Linked DNA regions of Kluyveromyces lactis. The protein of the gene in region 2 binds, or shares a complex with, the protein of the main gene of each other region. Links are inferred from orthologs where the notes say so. Each region holds a gene or a part of one and is shown on either strand. Other genes may lie near its edges. The genes, in order: MRPL10, MRPL11, RML2, MHR1, IMG1, MRPL22 and MRPL15.

The links.
Region 1: MRPL11 (region 2) and MRPL10 share a complex: the UniProt entries of both Saccharomyces cerevisiae proteins name them as parts of the mitochondrial large ribosomal subunit. The link is inferred for Kluyveromyces lactis from reciprocal best matches to the Saccharomyces cerevisiae genes MRPL11 and MRPL10.
Region 3: MRPL11 (region 2) and RML2 share a complex: the UniProt entries of both Saccharomyces cerevisiae proteins name them as parts of the mitochondrial large ribosomal subunit. The link is inferred for Kluyveromyces lactis from reciprocal best matches to the Saccharomyces cerevisiae genes MRPL11 and RML2.
Region 4: MRPL11 (region 2) and MHR1 share a complex: the UniProt entries of both Saccharomyces cerevisiae proteins name them as parts of the mitochondrial large ribosomal subunit. The link is inferred for Kluyveromyces lactis from reciprocal best matches to the Saccharomyces cerevisiae genes MRPL11 and MHR1.
Region 5: MRPL11 (region 2) and IMG1 share a complex: the UniProt entries of both Saccharomyces cerevisiae proteins name them as parts of the mitochondrial large ribosomal subunit. The link is inferred for Kluyveromyces lactis from reciprocal best matches to the Saccharomyces cerevisiae genes MRPL11 and IMG1.
Region 6: MRPL11 (region 2) and MRPL22 share a complex: the UniProt entries of both Saccharomyces cerevisiae proteins name them as parts of the mitochondrial large ribosomal subunit. The link is inferred for Kluyveromyces lactis from reciprocal best matches to the Saccharomyces cerevisiae genes MRPL11 and MRPL22.
Region 7: MRPL11 (region 2) and MRPL15 share a complex: the UniProt entries of both Saccharomyces cerevisiae proteins name them as parts of the mitochondrial large ribosomal subunit. The link is inferred for Kluyveromyces lactis from reciprocal best matches to the Saccharomyces cerevisiae genes MRPL11 and MRPL15.

Annotation. Positions count from the first base shown.
Region 1 is NC_006039.1:1,033,445-1,036,001, reverse strand, and holds MRPL10 (mitochondrial 54S ribosomal protein uL15m), read left to right. Parts: upstream 1-1,127; coding exon 1,128-2,057; downstream 2,058-2,557. Other genes in the region: WSC2 (Wsc2p), read left to right, coding at 1-245; KLLA0_C12111g (uncharacterized protein), read right to left, coding at 2,231-2,557. UniProt on the Saccharomyces cerevisiae protein: Component of the mitochondrial ribosome (mitoribosome), a dedicated translation machinery responsible for the synthesis of mitochondrial genome-encoded proteins, including at least some of the essential transmembrane subunits of the mitochondrial respiratory chain.
Region 2 is NC_006037.1:292,829-295,512, forward strand, and holds MRPL11 (mitochondrial 54S ribosomal protein uL10m), read right to left. Parts: upstream 1,239-2,684; coding exon 501-1,238; downstream 1-500. Other genes in the region: TRM8 (tRNA (guanine46-N7)-methyltransferase), read right to left, coding at 1-187; KLLA0_A03289g (putative nitronate monooxygenase), read right to left, coding at 1,997-2,684. UniProt on the Saccharomyces cerevisiae protein: Component of the mitochondrial ribosome (mitoribosome), a dedicated translation machinery responsible for the synthesis of mitochondrial genome-encoded proteins, including at least some of the essential transmembrane subunits of the mitochondrial respiratory chain.
Region 3 is NC_006037.1:183,120-186,222, forward strand, and holds RML2 (mitochondrial 54S ribosomal protein uL2m), read right to left. Parts: upstream 1,707-3,103; coding exon 501-1,706; downstream 1-500. Other genes in the region: KLLA0_A02013g (putative aminopeptidase), read left to right, coding at 1-328; ERD1 (Erd1p), read left to right, coding at 3,101-3,103. UniProt on the Saccharomyces cerevisiae protein: Component of the mitochondrial ribosome (mitoribosome), a dedicated translation machinery responsible for the synthesis of mitochondrial genome-encoded proteins, including at least some of the essential transmembrane subunits of the mitochondrial respiratory chain.
Region 4 is NC_006039.1:893,436-895,764, forward strand, and holds MHR1 (mitochondrial 54S ribosomal protein mL67), read right to left. Parts: upstream 1,161-2,329; coding exon 501-1,160; downstream 1-500. Other genes in the region: GTPase-activating protein NEL1, read left to right, coding at 1,587-2,329. UniProt on the Saccharomyces cerevisiae protein: Component of the mitochondrial ribosome (mitoribosome), a dedicated translation machinery responsible for the synthesis of mitochondrial genome-encoded proteins, including at least some of the essential transmembrane subunits of the mitochondrial respiratory chain.
Region 5 is NC_006042.1:571,743-574,024, forward strand, and holds IMG1 (mitochondrial 54S ribosomal protein bL19m), read left to right. Parts: upstream 1-1,266; coding exon 1,267-1,782; downstream 1,783-2,282. Other genes in the region: BUD23 (18S rRNA (guanine1575-N7)-methyltransferase), read left to right, coding at 154-957. UniProt on the Saccharomyces cerevisiae protein: Component of the mitochondrial ribosome (mitoribosome), a dedicated translation machinery responsible for the synthesis of mitochondrial genome-encoded proteins, including at least some of the essential transmembrane subunits of the mitochondrial respiratory chain.
Region 6 is NC_006040.1:702,267-704,854, reverse strand, and holds MRPL22 (mitochondrial 54S ribosomal protein uL22m), read right to left. Parts: upstream 1,401-2,588; coding exon 501-1,400; downstream 1-500. Other genes in the region: SHR3 (Shr3p), read left to right, coding at 1-258; TDA7 (Tda7p), read right to left, coding at 1,802-2,588. UniProt on the Saccharomyces cerevisiae protein: Component of the mitochondrial ribosome (mitoribosome), a dedicated translation machinery responsible for the synthesis of mitochondrial genome-encoded proteins, including at least some of the essential transmembrane subunits of the mitochondrial respiratory chain.
Region 7 is NC_006039.1:1,528,070-1,530,439, forward strand, and holds MRPL15 (mitochondrial 54S ribosomal protein mL57), read right to left. Parts: upstream 1,227-2,370; coding exon 501-1,226; downstream 1-500. Other genes in the region: KLLA0_C17380g (uncharacterized protein), read left to right, coding at 1-6; RNA-dependent ATPase ROK1, read left to right, coding at 1,872-2,370. UniProt on the Saccharomyces cerevisiae protein: Component of the mitochondrial ribosome (mitoribosome), a dedicated translation machinery responsible for the synthesis of mitochondrial genome-encoded proteins, including at least some of the essential transmembrane subunits of the mitochondrial respiratory chain.

The DNA.
Region 1 (2,557 bases), on a different chromosome or scaffold from region 2:
GATTGGATAATAATGGAAACGAAATCAGTGATTCGCAAATCGTTAGTCCGTTTGGAGAAACTATGGATCAACCAGACCTAACACAACCTCCTGTACGTCCGACAATGGGAAATCCTAGATTCAGCAATGGTTCTTTACCAGATGTAACTCAACAAAGGCGACCGCTAAGAATCGCCAATCCAGATGAGCTGGATGATGAGGATACAGAATTCAATTCGATCATCGAAAATCTCAGGGGAGATTGATCCTGATACAATATAACATCATCTTTTTAACACATTTCGCTAAGATAATAGCATGATATACCCAATATCATCCCCTTGTTGTTGTCAAACAAAACAAACGCCAAAAGGAAATATTCCAAATATAAAACATCAACTAAGGCCCACAATAAGCCATGTTCCATACTCACTACTGATACTTGATACCCCTAATGAAAACTATCAACTGAGGATCAGTTAATTGTCTAACACTATAAACAAGACAAGTCACAAAATATATCGAAACGATTTATGTTATACTGATAAGTTGGGCTTTCACATATGTACATATATAACGTTATAATACTCATTTAATTTCTTCACATTTTACTTCAAGGTATCTTTATAATGGTTAATTGTCATGTTTACTGTCGGGAATTATTGTGCTACATTTTCATCTAGGGTAATTGTTTAAGGGATCCAAAAAAATGCTTCCAACCAGAGTCGAACTGATGATCTCCACATTACTAGTGTGGCGCCTTACCAACTTGGCCATAGAAGCTGTTTCTTGTCATAAAAAGAATTTACCACTATATACTCCTACGAGATTATTGCCTGCTACCAATTCTTTTCTGGTGGACCTAACCTATTTTGAACTGAGGAATACGCAGTTTATAATGTTACAGCTACATTTTTGAAAAACGTGATGCTAAAATAATAGTAGGTTTACTGAAATAGTTTCGGCTGTTTCAATTTGTCAATCTGCTAGGCGCATCTAAACACTTACATCAGCATTGCATACCCTCTTATCGTCTCCAAGCTCCCTCTGTGTCCTAGCGAATCTCAGCATTTTAAAAGGTTACCCGAATACCTAATTTCGAAAATTTTTTAGAATGAATATGGTTAACTTACAAGAAATTACTGGAGATGATTTGGATATTCAATGAATCTACTGGATATCTACTATTATCGATATTTAATAGCCCTATCTCGAGGTCTCACAATACTAGCACGATGTTTTCGATCAACAAAGTGGTGAATCCCTTTGGATCACTTATACAGAGATCATTTGTACGCCAAATCACGATCCTTGGTGGTTTAAAACCTGGTGAAGGCTCTAAGAAGAACTACAAAAGATTGGGTAGAGGTCCATCCAGTGGCAAAGGTAAGACTGCTGGTAGAGGTCAAAAGGGTCAAAAGGCCCGTGGTTATGTAAAATCATGGTTTGAAGGTGGTCAAACCCCAATCTTCAAATTGTTCCCAAAGCTAGGGTTCACCAACGTAACATCACTAAAATTGAAAGAATTAAACCTTGATAGAATAACGTGGTTCCACCAAAAGGGTCGCCTACATTTGGAGCCAGGTGAAACCTTGACGATGAAAAAGATGAAAGAAATCGGTTTGGTTACCGGCCCGATCAAAGATGGTATTAAGATTCTAGGTGATGGTAAATTCTCTTATAATCTTCCAATCAAGATTGAAGCTACTAGAGCTTCACAGGATGCAATTGAGGCAATCGAACATGCAGGCGGAAGTTTCACTGCTCGTTATTTCAACCGTCTTGGTCTAAGAGCCCATTTATCACCACATTGGTTCCTAGAAAAGTACGGAAGAGTTCCTCTACAAGCTAGACCCACAAAGAGGAAGGATATTGAATATTACTGTAACGAAGAAAAGAGAGGTTATTTGATTATGGAAAATGACCCATACTATCAACTTTTGCAGAAATCCAAAGATGAAGGCGGTAAAAATTTGGTTGCTCGGAAGACCAAGAAGTCCAAGCTTGAGTTGCAATTAGAGCAACTTGAGAACGATTTTGCTCCTGCTTCTCCAAATTCTGAAATTAAATCAAACTGAACATCATATAGCAATATAGAAATGCCCTGTATATAATACACATCATTCAACGCCATTTCTCCAGATTTATACACCATATCAATCAAATTGATATCTGTATTCACAAGTTGTAGCAACTTTTGTCTATTTAATGCTCTAAAGTCTAAAAATATAAGAATGAGCTTGTCTCACTTTTACACATCGTTTTGTGGAGTAGAAGACTCTGTGTTTTTGTTGTCCAACAATCTTTCTTCGAGAACCTGTAGGGCTAACTTTTTCCTTCTTTCTTCCGCTTCAGAGCCTTCAACAGGCTTAGCACCCCTCTTTTGAGCCAAAATGTTAGCTTGTTCGATATCGTATACTCTAAACGGAGTTGCAATACGCCAATCAACAATAAACTTCTGGTAAAGGTAATCAAATATTGGCTCAAGTACTGGTTTGACTAAATCCGGGAAGAAATATATCAATTGGAATGTCTCAGAGGCATCTCCTACCACTTCAAATTCAGCATCCTCAGCCAT
Region 2 (2,684 bases):
TTGGATACTCCAACTGATGATCACTGAATGGATTCGAATGTGCTCTTTGTCTGTAAAACTTTTTTTTAGGTAAAGATAGTTTATCCACCTTTTCAATCACAGATTCATCGATCTTGACATGTTTCAATTCTTTGCGATGATCTTGCTTCTCAGCACGATACGCCTGGCGTCTAGTACTAAAACTCATATTTTCTAACAAAGGCAGTTATAGGAAATTTGAGTCACTGTTAGAATTCAATTATGTTTATTCAACACACATTAACGGTTGGTGGAAGTAACTGCTTTGAAAAATTGTAACCTCATCGCCTAGGTTTTCTCGACTCAATTGATTCAGTGCATGTTCAAAAACTTTTTATTTCTTTACAATATACAAATGAGATCAAAAAAAGTCACGTGCAAAGAATATGTACAGGAGTTTATATTAATATGTGATGGGTTTATTTAAGTACATCGATACGTAAAAATGATTTATATTACATTTCATGATGGGGCAAAAGACTTTAATTTCCTTCGCTGTCATTCTCGTTTTTCTGCTTATCTGGGTTAATATTATCTTCGTGAGACTTTAGAGTTAGGTACAACATGTTTGAGCCAGCTTCTAAAGTTTGAACTAAACCAGCACCGCTCAAGACGTGCAATAGTCCCAGTAATTCTGATTGTAATTGACTTTTTGTTGGTAGATCCTTGAAAGAATCCAATTGTCTCAAATCGTACGCATCATTTTCAACTTTGGCGCCAATAACGAATAACTTGTCTTGGGCTTTTTCCAATAATTTCATGACTTTTTTTACCTTTGCCGGATCAGTCTCTGGGAACGAAATTGCTGCCGTAGGACCTTTGAACAAGGGCAGTAAAGGATGCTTCCAGTCTTGTTCTGAACGTTTCGCTGGAGCAGCTGGGTCATTTTTGCGTGAGTTTCTCAAGTATACTTGGAACAAATTGTTTCTCAAGATTGTTAACTTGCCTCCTACCTTATTAATTTCTTCTCTGAAGTGTGCATTCTCCCCTTTCATCAAATTGTTATGATGACAAAACAACATTACCGGACTGGTTTCCATCAGGTTTTTGTAAGAGTCGATTAGGAAAGTCTTACGAGAGTCCAAAGGCTTTACTGTTCTTCTAACTGCATCCGAGACAGTTCTCTCAATTTGCGTAGAGGCAAACCTCCTAACCAAAAACGGAGAAGCATATGAGACACGGGATACCACCACTGGGCTTCTTAACAAAAGTGACAACATGGCTATTTTGAGTGGTTGGTGATGACCTGAGCTGTGGATTCGAATCACTTTAAGCGAATTCATTCCCACCAATATATCTCTTCACTACAATATATCAATCTTCAGTGATTTTTCAGATTTTTCATTTTTTTTCAGATTTTTCAGTATCGTCGAATTTCAATACTTGGTACAATAAACCGACGAGAGGCATAGTTAGATTCAATGTAAGAAGGTATGAATGGTAATTGGAAGTGGTATGAGTGCCAAAATCGGTATCAACAATGGAGAAGGGAATGAAGACTTTCTCGTATATTTTCCATGGCAGCAAAAAATGTATATTGGTAATTTTTTATATATCTTCTTTATAGTATATATAATCCCGAATGAGGCAAAGGTCGATTCACGTGACTGTTCAAATTAAAATGATAGAGGAATTGGTGAGTTCTGCTCTTCTTTTCGAACTGCAAACTGTCATTGCTATCGTCAACATCATGCTTAAATAATGTAATCCGTTATAGACGTCTCCTGTCCAAGCTAGGAGGGATGTCGAAAGATTAGATTTCTTCCTTACAAAAGGTAGTCCGGGATTTATAGGGTCGTAGTGAAATTGTGAAGAGATGCAACTCTACTTCGTCATTGAAAAAATAAATGCAGTCATGTAACTGACGAGAATAATGCACAATTAGTGTAACTTCATCGTTCCATTGTGGAATTTGTCGCTATTCGGGATTTTCGTACATTTGAAACAGCATAGCTCTGTGCTGTAACGGTCTGGAAAATTATCTCATCTCATCGACAAGGGTTTGCATTAGTTGTCTCGCATCCATATCACGGATACGGCTGACATTGGATCCTGCCCAATGTGCTGCGAAAGAATTTGCGGTACCATCATGATCTGGAATAGACACGGCATTTAACTGCTTCCCCACATCGTATGTAAATGGATACCCTGGATGTATCACTCTAGTTGGAATATCCACCTCAGTGTGCCAACTATTCAACAAAGCTCGCGCCGGACGACCTGATATGCTGCTTGTGATTTGAGTTATGTCATTTCTTGTTTTGTCAAATAATAATTTCCTGTAATTTTCTGACGCAGCCGATTCTTTGCATTGGACAAATGCGGTTCCTAATTGAGCACCACTGGCACCTACTTCCATCATTCCTTTAATATCTTGACCAGACATTATTCCTCCTGCTGCTACTATAGGAATAGTTGTGCCCAACTTTGCTTTTAGTAATTTCACCAAATCTCTCGTGGATATTGCCGGATCTAATGATGCGTTAAACATTCCCCGATGACCACCCGCTTCGACACCTTGAGCGATTAGGATATCTATCCCGTGCCCAATAGCCAATTCAGCCTCACTTAATTGAGTCACACTTGCCATCGTGACAACTCCCGCTTGCTTCAATGATTTTAAAGTGCTCGCAGATGGCACTCCGAAATGGAAACTAACCACTTTC
Region 3 (3,103 bases), about 110 kb from region 2:
TGAGCATGTTGGTGTCATTACTGATTATACCACGCCAGGTCTAACTGAATTTATTAAGTTGATTATAAGAAGATTCTTGGATATTCCTTACGTGGAAACGGAATGTGGATATGCATGTAGTGATCACGGAAGTGCAACGAAGAATGGATTCCCCGCTTCCTTTGTCATTGAAAGTGAGTTCAACAAATCTAACAAATACATTCACAGTACGATGGACACTTTAGACAGACTTTCATTTGATCACATGGCCCAGCATGTAAGGTTAGTCGTTGGTTCCTTATTCGAACTTGGGAACTGGGAATTTAAGCTGGAAGAAGAGACCAAATGATGCTCTGGATGTAGTAATCTAAACTTTGTTTAAAATAGAGTTGGTAACTGAACAGATGTTATGTTATTTCTTTAAATTAACTAGTTCTACGATATTTACAGGATGGAAGTCATTGAAATAAGTTTACAAAAACTGATGATATTTAAGATAGGATCAGTTGTGGGGAAGCTTATCATTGTCTAGCCTTTCTACCAGCCTTACCTCTTGGTCTATCTTTAACCTTCATTTTGTTTTGATGCTTACCCCTTCTTGTCTTGTAACCCTTGGCCAATTGACCCCATGGAGACATGGACAACTTTTTGGACTTAGATTTACCTCTACCACCACCGTGAGGATGGTCACATTTGTTCATTGCCACACCTCTGACAGTTGGTCTTATACCCAACCATCTAGATCTACCAGCTTTACCTAGAGAACGGTTTTGATGGTCAATATTTGAGACAACACCCATGGTAGCTGCAGCTTCCAATGATACGTAACGGTGCTCACCACTTTGTAGACGGACAACAGCTTTATTCTTTTCTGGGATCTTGGATAAGATACGTGCGTAAGAACCAGCAGCACGACAGAACTTACCTGGACCTGTAGGAGTGATACCAATATTATGAACGATGGATCCGATTGGGATCATAGAGATTGGTAGACAGTTACCTCTTTGAGCTGTTCTAACAGATAAGATGGCAGGATCGATCTTCCCACCCATTTCTTTCAAAAATGATGGTGGAATACCTTTTCTGTATGATTCGATGGTATCCCCAGCTCTTAGCCCATCACATGCTAAAATGTAGCTTAGGGCACCAGTATCGTTATGTTTTATCAATGCAATATGTGCACTTCTACCAGGATCGTATTCGATTCTTTCCACAGTTTGCATACCAGATTCGAAACGACTGAAATCGACTGTTCTCAATCTTCTTTTATGACCACCACCACGATGTCTCACCGTGATCTTACCACTATGGTTTCTACCACCATTTCCTCTCTTGGCAAGAGTCAAAGATTTAACAGGTCTTCCCTTATGCAAATATGGATAAATTGGCGCACGGTACCATCTCAAACCTGGAGAAACCGGTTTCAATTTCTTCATTTGTGTAACTTCCTTAGCCAACTTTCTTCTTCTTCTTAACAATTCGTCTTGCTTCTCTAGTGCTACCACATCTGTGTTATTAGGAACGATTTTCAACATATGGACATTGACATCGTCAACTGAAGATTGTTCTTCATTCCCGGTTGGAGTGATGCTGGCCATAGATCTGATTCCACCAAGTGAAGTATTGTTCAAAGACATTATCATCGAAACATTCCACGGAACTTGAACTCTTGAGGAGACGCCGCTGGCAAGCGGCGTCAGGCATCTCAAGTTGAATTGCTTGAACATGATATTATATCCAGAGCACCTAACGAGATTCTTAGGGTAAACCGTCTAATACCAATATCTCCGCTTTGCTACTGCCCTTCACAGAAATAATAAAATAACTCTGATCTTAATAAGATTTGTTATAGATATATCCACCCTTATATATATCAATATCCATAGTTTAAAATGTTTAAGTCATTGCAATTACATTGTTCATTTTTGTTAATATCAAAATCTTTCAAGCGATCTCTAATTTCAAACAGCTTCAATACCATCAGAGGAATATCGTCAAATGGAATTTTTTGCAAGAAGTATCACTATGAACGTATTCTGAATTTACCCGGATTATATAATATTTGGTCACGTGATTCAGGAAATCTTTGTGTACTTATTTTGTGCCCTAATGGCAGACCAGTCTCTCATGGTTAGATTGACTATTCTTTCTGTTTTATGGTTTTTAGTTTAAATAACTGGAAAAGTGAAAAATTTTGAGGTAAGTTTCTATCTCATCACGAATACTTTATTATCCGTTACAAAGCTTTTAATTAGAGTTAGAGACATAACCAACAAGGATTCGATTTGTAGTGTATCAGGAACAGGAGTTCCTGTTCGCAACGTATTCTGTCTTTTTTACTGAACTCAAACGGAAATCAAATTCCTCTTCATGTCGGGAAATGAACAAGTAAAAGGAACGACGAAGATAATGACTGTCTGTATGGAAATACCATCATTTGGATTGTTTTTTTTTTGAGTATATCGATTATGATGACCGCTGTCGCCCCAAACGGATTTCGAAAATATGAACGATTCGACTAGCATTAGCCAAACACTGAAAATTCTGATCAATCGATTACTTTATTAAAATAAACTGTCCAGGCAATACAGTACAAGTTATATCTTCTTGTTTGTTTGACTTTCTTCATTTCCGGATATATTCGGGTAGTCGAAGTGTACGTTAGATGTGTCAGTGGATTACTCGGCATTCTCTATCTTAAATATATAGACCTATTAATGATGAACTAAAAGTTTCCATGCTAATCATGAATAAAATTCAAAATTTTAAAGGATTAGAAACACGCTTTTTGTTATCTCTAACAGTCCTGAATACGTTTATATATAGCATTAGCTGTTCCATTCTTGTACTTGTAACTTGTGCTTTTCGGTAGTGTGTGTTTTTTTATTTTTGGTGCCGGTATCTGAATTGTAAACACGTCTTGAAAAGATGTCAATAGAAATAAAAGTGTTATCTTAGGACTAAAAACGTAGGATCCTAGATTATACAGAGCTCTGAGACAGTGAACCACAAATCTAAACCGTTAGCGATACACACAGGGCCTTTCTGAAAGGGATTTCTTCTGCTTCTATTCCTCCTTTTTTTGTTACATTTTTTTGATTCCTTATTTATACGTGCATTCATG
Region 4 (2,329 bases), on a different chromosome or scaffold from region 2:
TTATGCTAGAAAAACTAAGAAAAACCCGAAGCCTCTAAGGGAAAACAGGATTGTCGTTAAAGAAACACCAGAGAAAACCAGAGAAACGGTGTTAAGGTTTCTCAAATTTGGTCATGTGACATTTTTTTTGCTTTTTCTTTGGTGTCCGGGTTCCTGCTTCTTCTTCCGTTAGGCGTTAATGCATGCATGAGACACATATGGTATGAAGCGGTAGAAAAGTAGAGGAAGTAATATGATGATTACAGAACCTTTGATATTTAGGTTACGTGATGATGGAAACAAGGGAGAAAACTGCTAGTAATCACCTTGTCAAATCAGTTAAACGCCGGTAGTGAGCTGAGGGTTTGTTTATATTATTTACAGAGTCGGATTGTCTGCGGGTTATATATGTACATGTAGTGATTTCTTAAAGACGTGACGAGTGAAGCAGTGAAAGATCTGAGCTCGGCTCAGCTTTTGCAACTGGAAATAGTTTGTATTTGCTTGTTTTCTTTTGTAACTCATAGAGAGATGTTTTGAGCAGCTGACTCCTGTTGTCTCACTCTTGCGAACTCTTCTTTGGCTCTTTCGCCTAGTTCTTTCAAAATTGCACTTTCCTCTCTGGAAACGTTCCCCAAACGTTCTAGTGTTGTGTGATTCAACTCTGGCAATACTGGGTTCCAGTATTTCTCTTTATCCCCCATTCTCCATTCGTCTTCCCAATGGACCTTAATGGACGATTGGACGTCTTTCAACTTTAGGAGACATTCTCGCAAATCGGCAACCGCTTCTTGAGAGTATGTTGGTCTGTATTGCGATGAGTACCATGTGTGGCCGGACTCATTCTTCTTTCTCATGTCTTTTGCCTGTTTACTGAATGTCACATCACGGAGATATCTTAATCTGCACAAATTCTGGTATACTTTTACACTCTTGTCGTAGTCTGGTAGATCAACAACAGCCATACATTTCCAAATATCACGTCTGGTGCTTGGTTTCTTATTCTCCCAGTTGGGTCTTTGGAAATTGGTATCAATTTGCTTCCAAGAAAAAGTCGGGAATTGAGAGTACAGCACTTGTCCACTCTCTAGGTTTCTGAATAAAAAGACTTGTGGTGCATACCCTGCTTTCTGTAGCCAGTTGGCTGGACGGAACTTGGTAATAGCTAAATGCTTGCTCATCTCTTCCTAGTGCCCTATGGTGTCTTCAAGCCTTATTTGTTAACAACAAAAGCCTTGATCCTCAGAGTTCTCTTCTATCTCCAGTGCTATTGATGGACTTCTGAAGAGTTATTTAAATACAATGTGTGCACAAATGTGGTGATCTCTTCTGTAATCAAGCTAAACTAACTATCAGCTTTCTCTTTTTCAAAATTTTTCAGCTTTTTCAGATGCCATAAACAACTTCGTAGAAACACTGAAAATTAAAGAGAATGAACCTAATATATACATTACCCGGATCTTGTGATGATATTGAATTCTCCGCTACCTGCTCTATCTTATCTTGGATCTCATCTCCAGAGAAAGGTTTTCCTATCAGCAGACACGCACAGTAGAGTTATCACCTTCATCCGTCAAGTGTCCGCATATTCCACCATCTAGAACTTGATGTTTGAATTGAATTATGGAGCCGTTCCTACGTCCCGGACAGATTGCTTAGCTAGAGTTCTCGATTGTGGAGATGATAACCGTGGATCGATAAGTGCCATTTGTGAGCCGGACTTGACAATTGACGGGAATTCAAGCCTAGCAAGCAGTGAGAATTATACCAATTGTAAAATCTGTGGAGGGTTTGCGAATTTTTTATGTTCAAGAGATTCACGAGCTGGGTGGTTTTGTTCTTTTTGTAATGCTTATAATGAACTAGGGAATATTCCATTATCATCGTCATACCTAAAACATTTAGGAACTGCTGCTGTGCCTACGCATTCCAAGTTCGCCATAATCATCGATCTTAATTGTGAATTTGAGGAAAATCTAGACGCGTTGAAGATGTTACAATTTGGTTCTGTCCAGTCATTGGCCCTGATCACGATTGAAGATGGGTCTGTCACTATTCATACTGACGGGTCACACATTACCGTAGATGCAGAATCTAGTAGTTGTATCAGCCATCTTAAGAAGCTTGACACAGAATGGTTCATTGCAAAGTATGGGCTTTTAGTGAGGAAGATTTGGACGGACCAAATATCTTTCGGTGCTAAACTCGCGGAACTTCTATGTCAACGGACTAGGTCAAAAAAAAGATGTAGAAGAAACACTGCACTCGCTATTTTTCTAGCACAATGTCTAAACCCATCACAATCCATTGCATTTGTTTTCGGACCCTGTACAGTAGCACCAGGTAAGGT
Region 5 (2,282 bases), on a different chromosome or scaffold from region 2:
ATTCAAAATTTTAAAGCTCATCTCGGTCATCGCCAAACATTTACGAACTAACAATGGCTACTTGAGCAAGCTGTTTGCATTGATATGCTCTGTTAATCAACTGACGGGAATAAAGTATAATAGGATAACAATTACAAGAAGTTTGAGATCGAAATGTCACGTCCAGAAGATTTGGCACCACCAGAAGTGTTTTACAATGACAGTGAATCTAAGAAGTATAGTGGCTCCACAAGAGTGCAACATATTCAAGCTAAAATGACACTTCGGGCCTTAGAACTTCTCAACCTGCCACATACATCATATATCTTGGATATTGGGTGTGGGTCTGGTTTAAGTGGTGAAATCATCACTGAAGAAGGACATATATGGTGTGGATTAGACATTTCTCCTAGTATGTTAGCTGAAGCGCTAGAAAGAGAAGTTGAAGGTGATCTTATGTTACACGATATAGGTCAAGGTATTCCATTTAGAGCAGGTGTATTTGATGCGGCAATTAGTATATCTGTGATTCAATGGTTATGTAATGCGGACACATCGTACAACGATCCAAAGAGAAGGCTCATGAGGTTCTTCAATACACTATTTGCTAGTTTGAAGAAAGGAGGAAAATTTGTAGCACAATTCTATCCAAAGAATGATGATCAAATAGACCAAATCTTGGGAGCAGCAAAAGTAGCTGGATTCTCTGGTGGCCTTGTCATTGATGATCCCGAGTCCAAAAAGAACAAGAAGTACTACTTGGTATTAAGCTCCGGATCTACAGAACAGAATGAACAAGTCAACTTGGATGGTGTTAAGATGGATGCAGATCTAATGGTAAAGAGAGAGCGTAAAAAGAAACTAGTTGAATCAAGTAAGGATTACATCAACAGAAAGAAGGAGGTGATGAAAAAAAGAGGTAGAAAGGTAGCTCTCGACTCGAAGTTTACGGGTAGAAAGAGAAGACCTAGGTTTTAGTATGGTCTTGCATATATAGAATTAGTAGATACGCACTTAATACAATCAGCAAACATGGACTGAAACGTTATCATTCATTCACCATTTTCCGTGTCTATTGCATCTGCCATGATCAAAACGTTTAAAATGATCATCAAACCTATGTTGTAGTTTTCCATAGAAAGAACATTCGAAAATTTTGGTTAAAAAAGATGGAAACATAAGTACCTAAGAGTTAAGAAAGCACTGAAGCGCAGTTTATATTTGAGTTTAAGCCTTTACTACCCGTCAGATCAAGTTCCCATTCCAAAACTATATTAGTCCCATACAATGTTAAAGAGACTACTACCTACCGTTATCAGACAATCTGTTAGAAGTTATCAACTTCCAGCTAAGAGTGGAAGAAAGATTATTCCAGTTTACCCACCAGTTGAAAGAATATCCTCCCCATTAGTAGTGAAGACTCTAGCTGATCATGATCTAAAACAACTTGACCCAACTGGTGTAAAAACAGAGATGGTTTCAAAGAAAAACCCAAATCGTCTACGTGCAGGTGATGTTCTTCGTGTAGTTTACGATTCCAAGAAATGCAACTACGATAGTTTTACTGGATATGTGCTATCGGTAGACCGTAAGCCAATAGTACAAGACACATCCATTCTATTAAGAGATTATATTTATAAAACCTGTGTGGAAATGAGAGTGCCAATCTTCTCACCATTGGTAGAGAGAATTGATTTGATTAGAAGAGCGGATGGTAAGAGACGCAGAAGTAAACATTATTACATCAGAAACACCAGATTGGATGTCGGAGATTTGGAAGCAAGTATGAGAAAGAAGAAATGAGCACATTCACACTATCAAACACTTGCTGAATTTTCATAAAATGAAACATGTACATAGAAGCAATTCAAACATATAGTAAGTAATGCTCGATATCAATGCAAACCCAAAGACAAGGAAGATTCAAAGTTGAAAGAGCTCCAGAGTTGAACCATAATGCAAGGTACTCTATGCAGGTCCAGCTTCTCTAGGTAAAGTTATTTGTATCATTAGCATGTCGGGTGGATATATAATTGTATAATCTGTAAAATAAAAAGGCGGATTATGCTAGTCCTTATACCTCATCAAGTGCATCCAATAAGAAAGGAAAATCATGAGAAAGGATAAGCATAAGAAAGGATTTGTACGCTCTATCTAAAACAAAGCTGCATTGAGTGAGCAAGTTGCTCTATTAGAAATGAAAAGATTACAAGCAATTTTGGTCCGCATTTTTGATAATTTATGAAGGTTCTTGATTGGTTCAAAAAAGTAGTGGTATAATGTTATGAAAGCCGTACCAGCCG
Region 6 (2,588 bases), on a different chromosome or scaffold from region 2:
GAATCTGCGGTTTACCATAACTGGGGTGAAGTCTCTGAGGCGCAAGGTATTGCTGTTGTTGCCTCTTCCAATATCATTATTTTAATTGTCTTTGCTGGTGTCTTAGTGTTGCAAGGAGGTTTGTGGTACAGTACCTGGGAATATGAACAAAGATTAGATCAATGGAGGAAAGACCAATTGAAGGAATCTGCCGCTAACCAACAGAAGGCGGAGAAAACTACTGAACCAGCTAAAACGGAATCTAAGAAGAAGAAATAGACGAAATTTGTTTCCTTACAGTTTGATGCGGTGAAGTATTTCGCGTTGCTTTCACTATTTACAAGCTCTTGTTCTATATATTATATAAATGATATGAAATACTTGGCTATTCCGACATGGATAACTTGAGATGAAACCCAAAGACAATCTAAGGACCTTATTATTGATGATTTAATTGCTGTATATTATCTTCACCCATTATCATTGGAAATAAACGTAATATGATAATGTTTAATATCTCATTACCATTTGTAAACACCACCCATAGAACCTCTGATGGGTTTATCTGCTAATTGAACCCACGGTTTCTTCCTTTGTTCTTTTAGTTTGGCTTCGTGCTCTAGTCTTCTCTTCGTTACACTCTTGGTCTTCAATATGCATTTGATATGCACATATGGGTGTTCAATGAGACCACGTCTACCTCTACCCTTCCATTCGACACGTTTTTGCCAAAATCCATCACTGCCGGTCCATATCTGGGAGATGTATAGGTCATTGGCATCCAAGCCAAGCTTCACACCATCATTAATACCGCGCTCCAATAATTCGGCAACATCACGGGCAACCTTTTTATCGGAGAAATGACATTGAGTCAAAGCTTTCTTAGCGTCCAATCCGTTCAAAAGTCTAAGCAGCTGTGTGGCCTTCTTCATAGATGATTTTACTCTGTAAGATTTAACATAGACACTAGGTTCAAGCACTTCTAATTCTTCATTCGTTAATCTCAAAGAACGATCTTTAGGGCGCACGCTTTTGTCGTAAAACCCACCGTTCAACCTAACCTGTTGTTCATAGAATTCCTTCTTAACTCTTGGTAACAAAAATTCTGGTAAACTTTTGATCATGGGGTCTTGTTCTTCGATATATTTCTGTAATTGTGTATCATTGGCTGCTGTAACTTTCTTTTTAGCCTCTGCCAGCTGGGTAGCAGCATCCAAATCATCTGACAGTTCGGTAGCAGTAGTCAACTTATTAGATAGTTTATTTGGATCGTCATCCTTCAACGGATTCACTCCATCGGTGACTTCACCGAATAGCGAACCTTGTGCAGATTTTTGTAGCTGCAATGCTGAAGCTTGAAAACTTCTTACACCGGAAGCCTTTCCCAAGCCGAACAGGCTAGTTACTGTCCTCGATAGCATTAAATTTTATATAGGTTGAACTGATGACAGAGCCTGCAACTAACCATGTAATTTACACGTGCCTCTAGTATTATACTGTAGGCATTTTATTACTTTGATCAATCCTTCTTCTGTACAATGTTTGATTATCAAAATTTTTTTGTTCGATGGTTAGGAAATATAAATCATCGTGAACGGGCATGAAGATATAAGGAATGGTTCTACTGTGTGGAGGAAGATATTGAAGTCCGACTATCTTGACGGGTTGTAAGATCACAAATTAGAAAAGCGTTAGTGTGGAATTGCTAGGAATTAAACCTTAAATATGAACTATATAACTGAAGATGCACAAAGAAGTATATTGAATAGAAGGGAAAATTTAAGTACAAATTTGAAAACTTTGTAATTAGAGTTTGGTAAGATCAGTGTTCGATTAGTTCCGTTAAATATCCGTGAGCGTTCTGTGGGTTTTCATCGTAAGTAACTGACATTTCAGTGTCATGTGTACCCTCATCGGTGGAAGATGACACAAAGGATGAATGTAGTGATGTTGTGGAAGGCGTCTGAGACTCTGGATCTGCAATCGATACAACATATTCGTCGTCGAATGGATTTGTCGTCTGTGGCCTCCTGACAGAATCTGCAACATATGGAGGCACTGAGGGCAAACTTTTTGAAACTTTGTTATTATTATGAGCAGTCGTCGATACTCTGGTTGTAGTCTTGGTGGTTTGCTGAGACTGTGCAATAAACGTTCCGATATCGTCGTATCCCATTTTTCTCCCAATGTCGTGGGAGAAGCTCTTTTCGTGTTCGATAAGATTTCTCCTTCGTCTCTTCCTAAATAATAAATAGATCACCAGTATCATTAGCGCCAGACCTCCCACGCTTCCTATTACACCACCGATTATTGTATCTTTATTTGATCCAGACGATGTTGAGTTGGAATCCAATGCGCCAGATAGCCATCTTTCGTAAAAAGATGTGTCAGTCACAACTGGACCTGTAGGTGTAGTGAAAGTAGCCTCTGTGGGTATCACTGTAAGTGTCGGTAGTCCTTTAGTAAAGGTGGTTGAAGTGTCAGTAAAGATGAAATCTCGTGTGTAATAAACCACAGTTTCAGAAGACGGTACTTCAGTGGTCAACGTTAACCAAGTCGGTGTAGGCACAGTGGCAGTAGCTTCTGTACCCTCAACAGATGTGTATTCT
Region 7 (2,370 bases), on a different chromosome or scaffold from region 2:
AAGTAAATTACCAGCAAAAAACATCCCTTCTATGAAGTTATATATGTATTTATATACATGTATTGTATTATGTACTTTTCTTAATCTGTTTTTATTTTGTATGTTAACATTTAATTAATGATAGATTTAGTTGTAAATTTATGTACGTCTATATTTCTAGAGATACATGAGATATATACAGTGCGCGCGTTTCTTTCGAGGTTCATTTTTAATTGAAGTGTGACGATGGAGTGTCGTTAAAAGGTTATGCTTTTCATGCTTTTGGTAAATTCATTATAATAAAACGTTGAAATTGAGCAGGGATGAAAGAGTAGATTAAAACACCACATTGACCAAGAGCTGTGATTGAAACTTCCGTTTCGAAATATATATATACAAGTTTTGAAAGCTCTTTCCCAACTCCGATGGAGACCATTCACTCGAGTGCTTTTTATTGATGTCGAAGTCTATTGTGTATTCCATTTCTCTTTCTTTCCTGTCGTGTAAAATTAGACATAATATTATAACTTCTCGGTCGTATCCCTGTTTGCTAACAAACTTTCAGATATCTTCGTTAGGGAATCACTATTGTCGCTGAATAGTTCATGCAACACGTATTCGGTGGCCTTGTCTTGACCGTGCAATAGATAGACACTGCCGACCACAGAATTTAGCACAGTTTGTAGCACGGTATACTCACCGTTATATTTGTGACTTTTTTGAGTGTCTCGTTTGTTCCAAAACACTAATTTATCTAGGTTTCTCCTTTGCAAAAATTCAGCCGTACTCTGTTTGGATATTAACATTTTAGAACTTCCCTTCCCAAGCATACCGAAATTTAGTCCGTTAATAACAGGTTCAGACTGTACGCTTTGTGATAGTTGCCTTTCAGAAACAGGTAGACCCAAGGAATGAAGACAAGCTTGATATTTCACAAAATGACCACCGATAATAGACAATTTCTGATTGTATGGTTTAATACCTTGGGCAAACGACTTGTGAGTCAAACATTGTGTAATGATGTCGTCTGGCAAGTCAATACCATATTTTTCCAAATTCAAACCTTGCTTAACAGTAGATACATGGCCATCCTTGACAAGAGAATCATAGTGCAAACCGTGTGGATTCTTCAAAGACTCAACTGGGTCTCTTTTCAAACCACGTACCCTAGTCCCAACGTGTAGATAAGAACCATTACGCACGCCGAATTTTGTGCTTAAGTTAAGACCAATTTTGGTTAAGGACATTATTCCAGAAGTAAAAAAATACTGTCTGAATGGTTTCTGTCTGGTATTTTCACAATTCAATCTTCCTCGACCGAATATCAACAGATTGTAATTACACAGGACACAAATATTAGAATTATTGAATCTTAATTCTAACAGTTTAGTCCTTTTAACTACGATTCAAACTGTTTCTTTGTAGTTTTTCGACTCGAGGCAGCGATCCAAATTTTGAAATTTTTCAAAATTTTTCAGATCACTCCAAACGAGGTCATCGCTGTGTCTAAGTGCTATCTTGTATGATGGGAATACATGCAATATCAAGGCATTAGGTACTGTTATCAAGGGAATATGGTCATTATGGGCTGGTATTATGAGGGCTTAATACCAGCTGTATCTTAAAGTAAGCTTTGCTGCATCTTTATGCCTTGAGAAGTACTTTTATATCGATTTTTACACTTATTGTACCCTAAGTTTTGTGAAAAGAAACGCTTCAGTAAGATCAATTTTAATTGAAAAAACTGCAATTAGATGTAGGCGATGAGATGAGATGAGATGAGATGAGAGAGTAGTAAGAGATTGATTATATCACTCACAGTGGTTTACTATCGAATTTATTCTCATTACTAAGTAACTTCTCACAGGCCAATACTAGCACCGCTAATTAACATGGATATCTTTAGAGTCTTGACTCGTGGAGCTAGCATAAGGAAGAATGGTGATTCTAATAGAACACAGTCTGCAGACTTTAGCATGGCTAATGAAAAGAAGAGTAAGACAGCTGGCAGCTCAAGTACACCAGCTAGAGATGAACAACAATTGACTAAGGAGTTGGATTTTTTCCGTAATAAGAAAATCATGAATAAGGTAAAGTCTGAGTCAACCAAAGGTGAAGGTGAAGACGAAGTACAAGAAGATAATCAAGAAGAAGACGAAGATCATGCTGATGACGAGACTGAGTTATCCGGGAAAATTATCACGAAACAAGATGCGTTAAAGTTACGTAAATCTTATCAAGGGAATGTTTCAGGGAATAGTGTTCCTTTGCCCATCGGTTCTTTTGAAGACTTGATCACAAGGTTCCAATTCGATAAGAGATTGTTAAACAACCTCATAGAAAATAACTTCACTGAACCAACTCCGATTCAAAGTGAATCTATACCGATTT